2 linked regions of the Tribolium castaneum genome follow. The protein of the gene in region 1 purifies or fractionates together with the protein of each later gene. This does not show direct contact. Links are inferred from orthologs where the notes say so. Each region holds a gene or a part of one and is shown in the gene's direction. Other genes may lie near its edges.

Evidence for each region.
Region 2: the proteins of hsp70-binding protein 1 (region 1) and erythroid differentiation-related factor 1 purify together in Homo sapiens (affinity purification with mass spectrometry; 3 studies listed by BioGRID and IntAct, counting the BioPlex papers as one, with this or other methods). This does not show direct contact. The link is inferred for Tribolium castaneum from reciprocal best matches to the Homo sapiens genes HSPBP1 and EDRF1.

The regions. Positions count from the first base shown.
Region 1 is NC_087395.1:16,048,423-16,052,324, reverse strand, and holds hsp70-binding protein 1, read left to right. Parts: upstream 1-1,448; 5' UTR 1,449-1,896; intron 1,897-1,958; 5' UTR 1,959-2,054; coding exon 2,055-3,065; 3' UTR 3,066-3,143; downstream 3,144-3,902. Other genes in the region: uncharacterized protein LOC100142079, read right to left, coding at 3,322-3,738, 3,790-3,902. UniProt on the Homo sapiens protein: Inhibits HSPA1A chaperone activity by changing the conformation of the ATP-binding domain of HSPA1A and interfering with ATP binding. Interferes with ubiquitination mediated by STUB1 and inhibits chaperone-assisted degradation of immature CFTR.
Region 2 is NC_087397.1:550,094-554,545, forward strand, and holds the start of erythroid differentiation-related factor 1, read left to right. Parts: upstream 1-1,443; 5' UTR 1,444-1,599; intron 1,600-1,769; 5' UTR 1,770-1,782; coding exon 1,783-1,985; intron 1,986-2,029; coding exon 2,030-2,541; intron 2,542-2,600; coding exon 2,601-4,452. Other genes in the region: mus301 (helicase POLQ-like), read right to left, coding at 1-785, 922-1,035, 1,077-1,116. UniProt on the Homo sapiens protein: Transcription factor involved in erythroid differentiation. Involved in transcriptional activation of the globin gene.

The DNA.
Region 1 (3,902 bases):
TTGTATTTATCTGTAATTCCATATTAGGTTCGCTGAATTAACGTAATTTTGGAAAGAAATTACAAGTGGGCTCAAGGTGCAACTATCACTAAATCTATTTAAGCTTAAAAATATGATAGGAAAGTTTTGTAACATGAAACATTGTGACAAAATCTGGAAGTTTTTTATTAAACAAATGAATAAAATAAATATACAATGTGTTTTTAAATGATTCTCATCTAGTTAACTTTGAAATTGGTTTACATGTCAAAAAATTTATGTCGTTCTGCTCAATTGATTTGTCAATAAATGTCAAAACTGTCACTTGTGAAATCATAAATTGTCAATTAATTAATTTTAAAAAAATGGTAAAATGCAACTAAATTGTTACACTGTGTAAGAAAACACTTTTATTATCGAAGTTTATTTCCGACTTGTAGGCTTAGTAAATATTCCATGTCTAAATTAATACTATAAAGCGGCATTTCTGATTTTTCATCACACAGACTACTAGATGAGAATCATTCTAACACACATTGTACAATTGTTTAATTATATTTAAAAAAAATAAGAACAAATGTATCAACAGATATGTCTGTGCGCAAACTTATTCTAAATAGTTTTGGAAGATATACCCTCAGATATACCTAAATAACTTTCAAGTTTTAATTTTTTTGTTATACTTAATATTTTTTAGCAAACATCAAATTCACCTCTACGTTATTAAAAATAACTGTTAGAAAACTTAATTTGAATGAAAAAAACTTAAGTTTTGAATGAAAATAGTGTGTTAATAAAGACTACAGTATTCAAAAATACATACCTACCTATTTTAATACGTAAAAAAATGTGACAATACTCAAATTGTGATCGGTGGGGTAAAAAGTCCAACTTGGAAAGGCAATTTCGGCCTAGGTTTCGTCAAAAGGATTCGGGATATCGAGAAATTCATTCAATACCTTTTTTTTTGTTTTTTATTAAAATTTTTGCTATTATGTACAGGTCAAAAGATTTATGATTCTCTCATATTATTGCAAACAGAATGGTTGACTTATATTCCACGTTATTTAATAACAGACATCAAGCTGAAACTCTAGCTTTAAAAGTCATGGTAAAAGGTAATCCCTTGTATCGTCTCTATTTTCGTGTAAACACGGTTATTCAATTACTTTTCTTGGTTTAAAATTAAATGGCAAGGCCAGACAGCTTATTTTACGGTTTAAGGTAAACGACACAGACCTCATCTCCAAATTCCTTCTCTAAAATATTTCAGTCAACATCAGAAATAGAAATATTTAACAAAATTATTTGAAGGTCGCCGCCAACAAAGAATTCACCAATTTAAGCCCAGACAGTAATAAAATCGTAGTTATTTTCCTCAAAATCGCTTCCTTAAGCATCAAATCTCTTATTTGCATGTTTTTAATTCAAAATTTTTACAGTTTTGGTCCCAAAAGTGTAGCTTATATTGACGATATAGCAGTGATTCTGTCGACTGGGAGCGTGGCGCACTCCTGTAATCCAGCTTCTTGGAGGTCGGGTTCAGTGGATGGTTTGAGGTTGGGAGTCCTGTTGCAAAGCGATTCACGTTGACTGGATGTCCGCACTAAGATCGGCATCGATATGGACATCCCGGAGGAGTCCGGGATGTCCAGGTCAGCTAAGGAGGGGCGAACCGGGCCAGGGGGGAAACCCAGCAGCCAAAAGTCCCCGTGTCGTTCAGTAGTGGGATCGCGTCTAGGAGTGGAAGCTTTGTGACAGCCCAATCAATACAGCTAGACCTGGGCCTTTTTGCCCTTTTTTTCCATCTTTGCTAATTATTAAACAATTTAGAAACCGTTATTGTTACCAATTGTGGGTTTATTCCACCATAGAAAATTATTAACTGGGGGCCCCTCATTGTTGCAAAGTCAATGGGTATGTATGCAACCAACATTGCAATTTTGACATTGACAAGCGATCATAACCTCAAACTCCAGAACGTTCGAGACATTTTCGCGATTCTTCACTCAAATATAAATCCCAGCATTGTGCTCACGCACTGACAGTGGTTGTAGTGCTGAAAGTGAGTCAAAATGACCAGTAACCAGGAAAATCAGCCCCAGATTGCGGGCGCAATTTGCGCGCCGCCCCCTCAGCCTCCAACGGGCGACGTGCCCCAGCCGCGTCAGCCCACGAACCTCCAGGGGCTCCTTAAATTCGCCATGGAGGCCACCAAGCTGGAGGACGCCCCCCGCGAGTCCACCTTCCAGCCCATGGAAGAAGCTCGCCGGAAATTCCTCGAGGAAGCCCTCAACTCGCTCACAGTCGACGTGATCGAAGTGTTACTCAAACAAATCAAAATTCTCGAAAAAGTGGACACGCTCAACGCCGGCGATGACGACAGCGAATACACAACAGCCCTTGACACGATCTCCGACTTTGTCTGTGACATCGACACTGCGAACGATTTTCACAAAATTGGGGGCTTCGTGATCGTGTCGCCGTGCCTCAAGTGCAAAAGCCCCAAAGTGAGGGCACAAGTGTGCAATTTGTTGGCGGAGTTGTGCCAGAATAACGCCTACTGCCAACGAGTGGTGCTCGAAAGTGGGATTATGCCGATACTTGTGGAGATTGTGGAGCAGGATCCGGAGGTGTCAGTGGTGGTGAAGGCATTGTATGCCATTAGTTGCATAGTGAGGCAAAATACGGGGGCTTGCGCCCAGTTTATACAATATAAGGGGGTCCAGGTGTTCCTGGAAGCCCTCAAACGAAATGAGGAGAAAATCAACACAAAAATTTGTTTCCTCTTGAGGGCGTTGTGCAGCTCACAGGCTGATTTTAAAAGCCGCCTTGTTTTTGTGGGTTACATTCCAGTTCTATTTTCCTTACTCTCAACACCTAAGACAAGTGACGAACACGTCCTAGGCCTCCTCCAGAAGTTGATTGAAGACAACTCAGCCGCCATTAACGAAAGCAGACAAAATAAAGTGAATGCTAAGGAAACCCTCGAAAATTATTTATCACAAATCAAGGGAAAGGAGGAATATTCCAATGAAGAAGAGTTGTGTGATACCATCTACAATACTTTATTTGCACAGAAATAAAACGTGTCATTGTATTTATTTCACATAATTAAGTTGTACTTTTGCAAAAATATACGCTTTTATATAATATTATAAAAAGTTGTTCCAACTCACGACACCTAACACTAATATCATAACATGCTTAAAATTTTACATAAACTTAATTGTTTGCAACAATTTCTCTCAAAAACCGGAACAAGACGTGATGTAAAATATCAGATAATATCAACTACAAGCACCTAAACATAAACACAATTATTGCTTCGAAAAATATCCGTTATTGCAAGTCGGCGAGACGATTCAGGAGCGTTTCAAACGATTCGTTACCAAATCGCGAATGCCACATTTGGCTGATGAAAAAATTCGGCACTTGTTCATAATTAAAAAACTGGGCTTCCTCGCACACATTCAACGCCAACTTCCAGATAATTTCCAAGTTGGCTAGGATTTCCTGATTGGCTGAATTGTGACGTGCGAGGCCTTCAACGCTCACTATGGTGGGGTAAATGTGGGACAATTTTTGCAAATCAAAAAACGAACACAGAGTGGAGTCTTGTCGCGAGACCAGAATGGAACCAGGGACGACGACGTCTTGAATCACCGTCAAAATGTGCTCTTTCACGTCCATTATTTGCTGCACGTTGTTGCGATGGTACCGGTTTAAGGCCTCGAACCAATAATTGGGGGGAATGTCCTAAAAATATCAATTGGAAACTGGACTATTAATTTCAGTTGGTAGCACTACCTTTATTTCAGCAATGCACAGTATGGGTCTATTGGCTTGGTTTGGCCTTGAGCTGTTTGTGCAACCTTCGGGATACGTATCAACTAAAACAATGATTCCAGGGCCCCCAACCT
Region 2 (4,452 bases), on another chromosome or scaffold:
CAAGCCGTAGAAAGGCCCAACTTCGGTAAACGTACCATTTTCTTCCCCAATCGTCTCACTTTTGGCTTTTTTCACCGGTATTACGTCTTTAGTAATGTTTGATAAAAGCACTTGCTTTAAGGCCGTAGCAAAACTCGCATTAATTCCAGACATTGTAATATCATTCTCATTCTCATTATTTTTATCCGATTCTTGTTCCACTTTTTGCGTCCCGAAAAGTCCTTCCAAAATTTTCGAAATGTCTTTATCGACAGACTCAACATCTGAGCCCATTACGCTGACCGAATGTTCGATTTGGTCGAAAAATGACTCCAATTCGTCGCGATTATTTTCATTTAAAACGTCTCCCAAATTCTCGCTTATTTTTGCACCCCAATTTTTCTCGCGCAAAATTGTGCTGTTCGTGTTACTCTCACTTATTATGGTCTCAATCTGGTTCAAGGCTTGACTGTTCTCAAACAGTTGAGTTAATTGAGTCAGTAATGGTTTTTTTGGTGATTCGTTTGGGTCATTTTTTGATCTGAGAGACAGTGGTGTTTTTTGTGAAGCATCAACAACTTTATGTAAGGAATTGTCGCTGGCTGAGCGCGTTGAAAGTGCCGTACTTTTATTAGTTTTATCATTTAGTAGCTGAGTTAGATCAATATTATCAAATAAATCGTCATCAAGTGAACATTCCTCCAGTTTGCATTTCTTATCAGCGGCTATTTTTGCCTCGTTAGACAACCTTTTTTTAGTCCCGGTTTTGCAACCACTATGATTTTCCGGAGGTTTCTCACTTTGTACTGTAAAAAAATTATTCATGATGTATAATTGGTTGCACAATCGGTAGAAAAAATTATTGAAATTATTTTATCAATTAGAGGCGCTAATTCCATAATATAGACAAACGTAGAAACGCGTTGGGATATTAGTTATTACCTTTTTTATTTTTTGAAAGCGAGAGCACAGAGAACTTTTGACTTTTGTTTTGGGATAATTGTCCTCGGGGTGCTTGAGGAACTAGGAACTCTTCATTGTTGGGCTCTGTAGAAACTAAAATGACTATTATGGTAATCTGAATACAAATACAAAACCTGGAGGTATTCTTTTGTGGGGTTGCTTCAAGCTGTTCATTTTATCACCCTGAATATTAACCAATAACACTTTCACAAAATTAGTAATTTATCAAATTGCACCTCTATTGCTACATTTATCTATTTTATTTAAACCATTTAAATATAAAATATTAAACACAAAACTGCAAATAAAACAAATTTTCGAAATATAACTTTTGACAGACAAATCTTGAACTTGACAATTGTTTCTTTTGCGCCGAGACGAACACGAGCCAATCACTGTAATTAATGCTACATGCTACAATGCTACTTTTGTAGTAGCATTGGGTTAGTAGATATTGTATCGTCTTTAAATTTTATTTATTTCAATAAATATTAATCATTAATTATTTAATCAGACTTTGGCGCTTGCTCGAATTCGCGCAATGTCAAACTGTAAATGTCAAAGAAATTTTAAAAGTCGTTCACAAAAATTCAACCTTGCTAAATATCCAAAAACGGGAAGATTATAAACACTCAACACATCCGTGCATTACATTAGGTATGTGTGGTTACAATTAACACGAATTCGTTGTAAATTACATATTTGAGCCAAGAGGTGGAATGTTCTAGAACTGATCATCGGTGGTGTTCTAGCACTTCAGAGTGGTTCAAGTGGTTGTGTATTTCCCTTGTGATCCTTATGGTCAACCAGTTGCATTTTAATTACAGTAACCCGCCCATTATGGAAAATGAAGATAGTGAAACGGCCGACAGTGAGGAGGTCAAGTCACGGGCCGTTGTGAAGTATTCCGTTCCAAAACCGGCCCAATTCATTCGATTAAAATGTAACACCGACTTAAACCTACCCCCTTCAAATTGGTTGAGTAGTTCGGCCGATTCTTACGGCTTACAGCACGTTCTCTACCACCAGAAGGGATTTTCAAGGTTAGCTCTTGTCTTAAATTGTTCACTTGAGAAGTTTTCTATAGTTTCAGAATGGCCCACATGTTCCCTGACTGTGTGGGAGAAGTAGATGTGGTTTCGGATGCGGAAAACATAAAAAACCTGCTTAAAATACCCTACTGCAAAAACCACATCAGTATGATGGTTCACAGAGTTGAAAACACTCTCCTACTTGATGATTTTGATATTTACAAACATTTATTGAGAACCTCCGAAACTGAATGGAAGTGGCTCAAAGAGTTCTTTTTCGAAAATGTCAACCATGAGACTTACGAAGAGGACAAGAATATGTACATTAAAAATCGAAGACGGGAAACCTTACAACAGAAAAGTCTAGTTTCGAAATTTCTGTATCATAGTTTGGCCGAAGGTGATACTAATGAAAATACGTGTTATGAGGACCCGAAAACCCTTCCTGTACCTTTACACGGACCCCAATTGCCTGAACCTGTCTCCGCAACACCCGATCCCAAGCCCTTTGATCACAATTACAACAGAAATGTTGTTTGGACTTTTGAGGACATTGAAATGTTAATAGGTACGGTATTTTTGTAATTTTGCATTTTCCTTGAATCAAATTTTTTTATATTTTTCCAGGTACGGATTTACCGATATTCGGTGGTGGCACCCACCCTTGCATCTCACTCCGTCTTCGAGACGTCAGTAAACCAATCAACGTGCTAACAGGCATCGATTATTGGCTAGACAATTTAATGTCAAACGTTCCCGAAGTCGTAATGTGTTACCACTTGAACGGCATCGTCCAAAAATACGAACTTATCAAAACCGAAGACTTACCCCGCTTAGATAATTCAAAATTTTCCCCTAAATTAATTCGAGACGTTGCTCAAAGCATTTTATCGTTTCTTAAGTCAAACGCGACCAAAGCCGGCCACACTTATTGGCTATTCAAGGGAAAAGACGAAGAGGTTGTGAAATTATACGACTTGACCTCACTTTGCTCAGAGAAAGATGTGGAAAATGGTCAAAATCCCTTCACTATACCTGTGGGTATGTTATTATACCGAGTAGCGCGTAATATGAAACATACATCGGATCGGCAACCCGGAACAATCCGGATGTTGCTTAAAAACTGTGTTAAGTTGCTACCGGAGGAAAAATACCCAGAAGTGGTCACGTCCTCGCACTATATGTTGGCCGATTTGTACGTCCCGGCAGGGACCAATCCCGAAGCGCCTGGTTTAGAGCAGGAAGTGGACGAAAATGATGAGTTTGACGATGACGATTTGATCGACGATAAAGACGATAAAGCTACGAAAATTCTCGTCTTGGATCAGAGTGATTCTAGGGAGAAATTTGTTAATTATTACAAGTCGCCACCGCCGATTACGGGAACTGTGGAAGAGCGGTGTCTACAAGCTGTACAGCATGTGGCAACCGGGCTTAATTGCTTGCAATACTTCCAACAACACCAAACTAGTGCTAGTGGTAAAAAAACAGCCGAAGAGGAGGAAGTTCCTGTTGCCAAGCCTTTTGAACCGATTCCAATGCCGTACGGGAAGCTTGATTCAAATGATGGTCAAAAGAAACAAAAAAAGAAAGACAAAAAAAAGAAGAACGAGAAAAAGAGTGAAAATGCCCTACTTTTGAAAAACAACACTCAGCCTTTGCCGACTTGGCAAAACGGGACGGGAAATATCTCATGGAAGGACCATCTCAAGACTTTACTTTATGAAAAAGCGGTCTTGGTTTATGCAATTTTGTCGGAACAACATTTCGGTGGCCGAAATTACGGTAACAGTTTGAGGACGATTGGTTTGTTGGCTAGATGTCAGTTGGTGATGAACCGCCTCCTTTACAATTCCAACGCCTTGAAGGAGAATTGTTTGCTGGGCAGAGCCGGCGATTGTTGCATTATGATGATCCAAAACTGGGATAAAGTCGATAGTTACCGCCAGCAATTCCAAAACAATTCCGAGGAAGATTTAAAATTGATGGAACAGCTCGAAAAAGACGAGCAATTGTACAACATCCACATCGGCGAGTCGAACATGAAGTGCGTTTTCATTTACGATATTCGCACAATCGAGCAAATTCTTCTCAAAGGTGTGGAGTGTTACGAAGTGGCGTTAAAATCAAGCGAAAATGATAGTATTTTACGGCGGTTGGGTAACGGTTTAAATGAAGTCGCCTCGTTTTATTTGAATAAAGCCAAGTCGGCTAAAACGAGCGATCTTACTGTGGAAATGTGCAAAAAAGCTGAACCGTACTTAACGAGAGGTTTGATTGTTTTCGAAAAGGTTAAAGATGAGGCGAATGTTGCACTTTTGTACACAAATATGGGTCACATGCATCGACTTTTAGCACATGCTAATACGCCGGAAAACCGGGGCGAGTTGAGTCAAAAAGAAAAGTTGCACTATAATAAGGCATTTATTAATTATAAGAAGGCGTTGCAAGTTTTGGGGGATCGGAAACACTGTCCTGG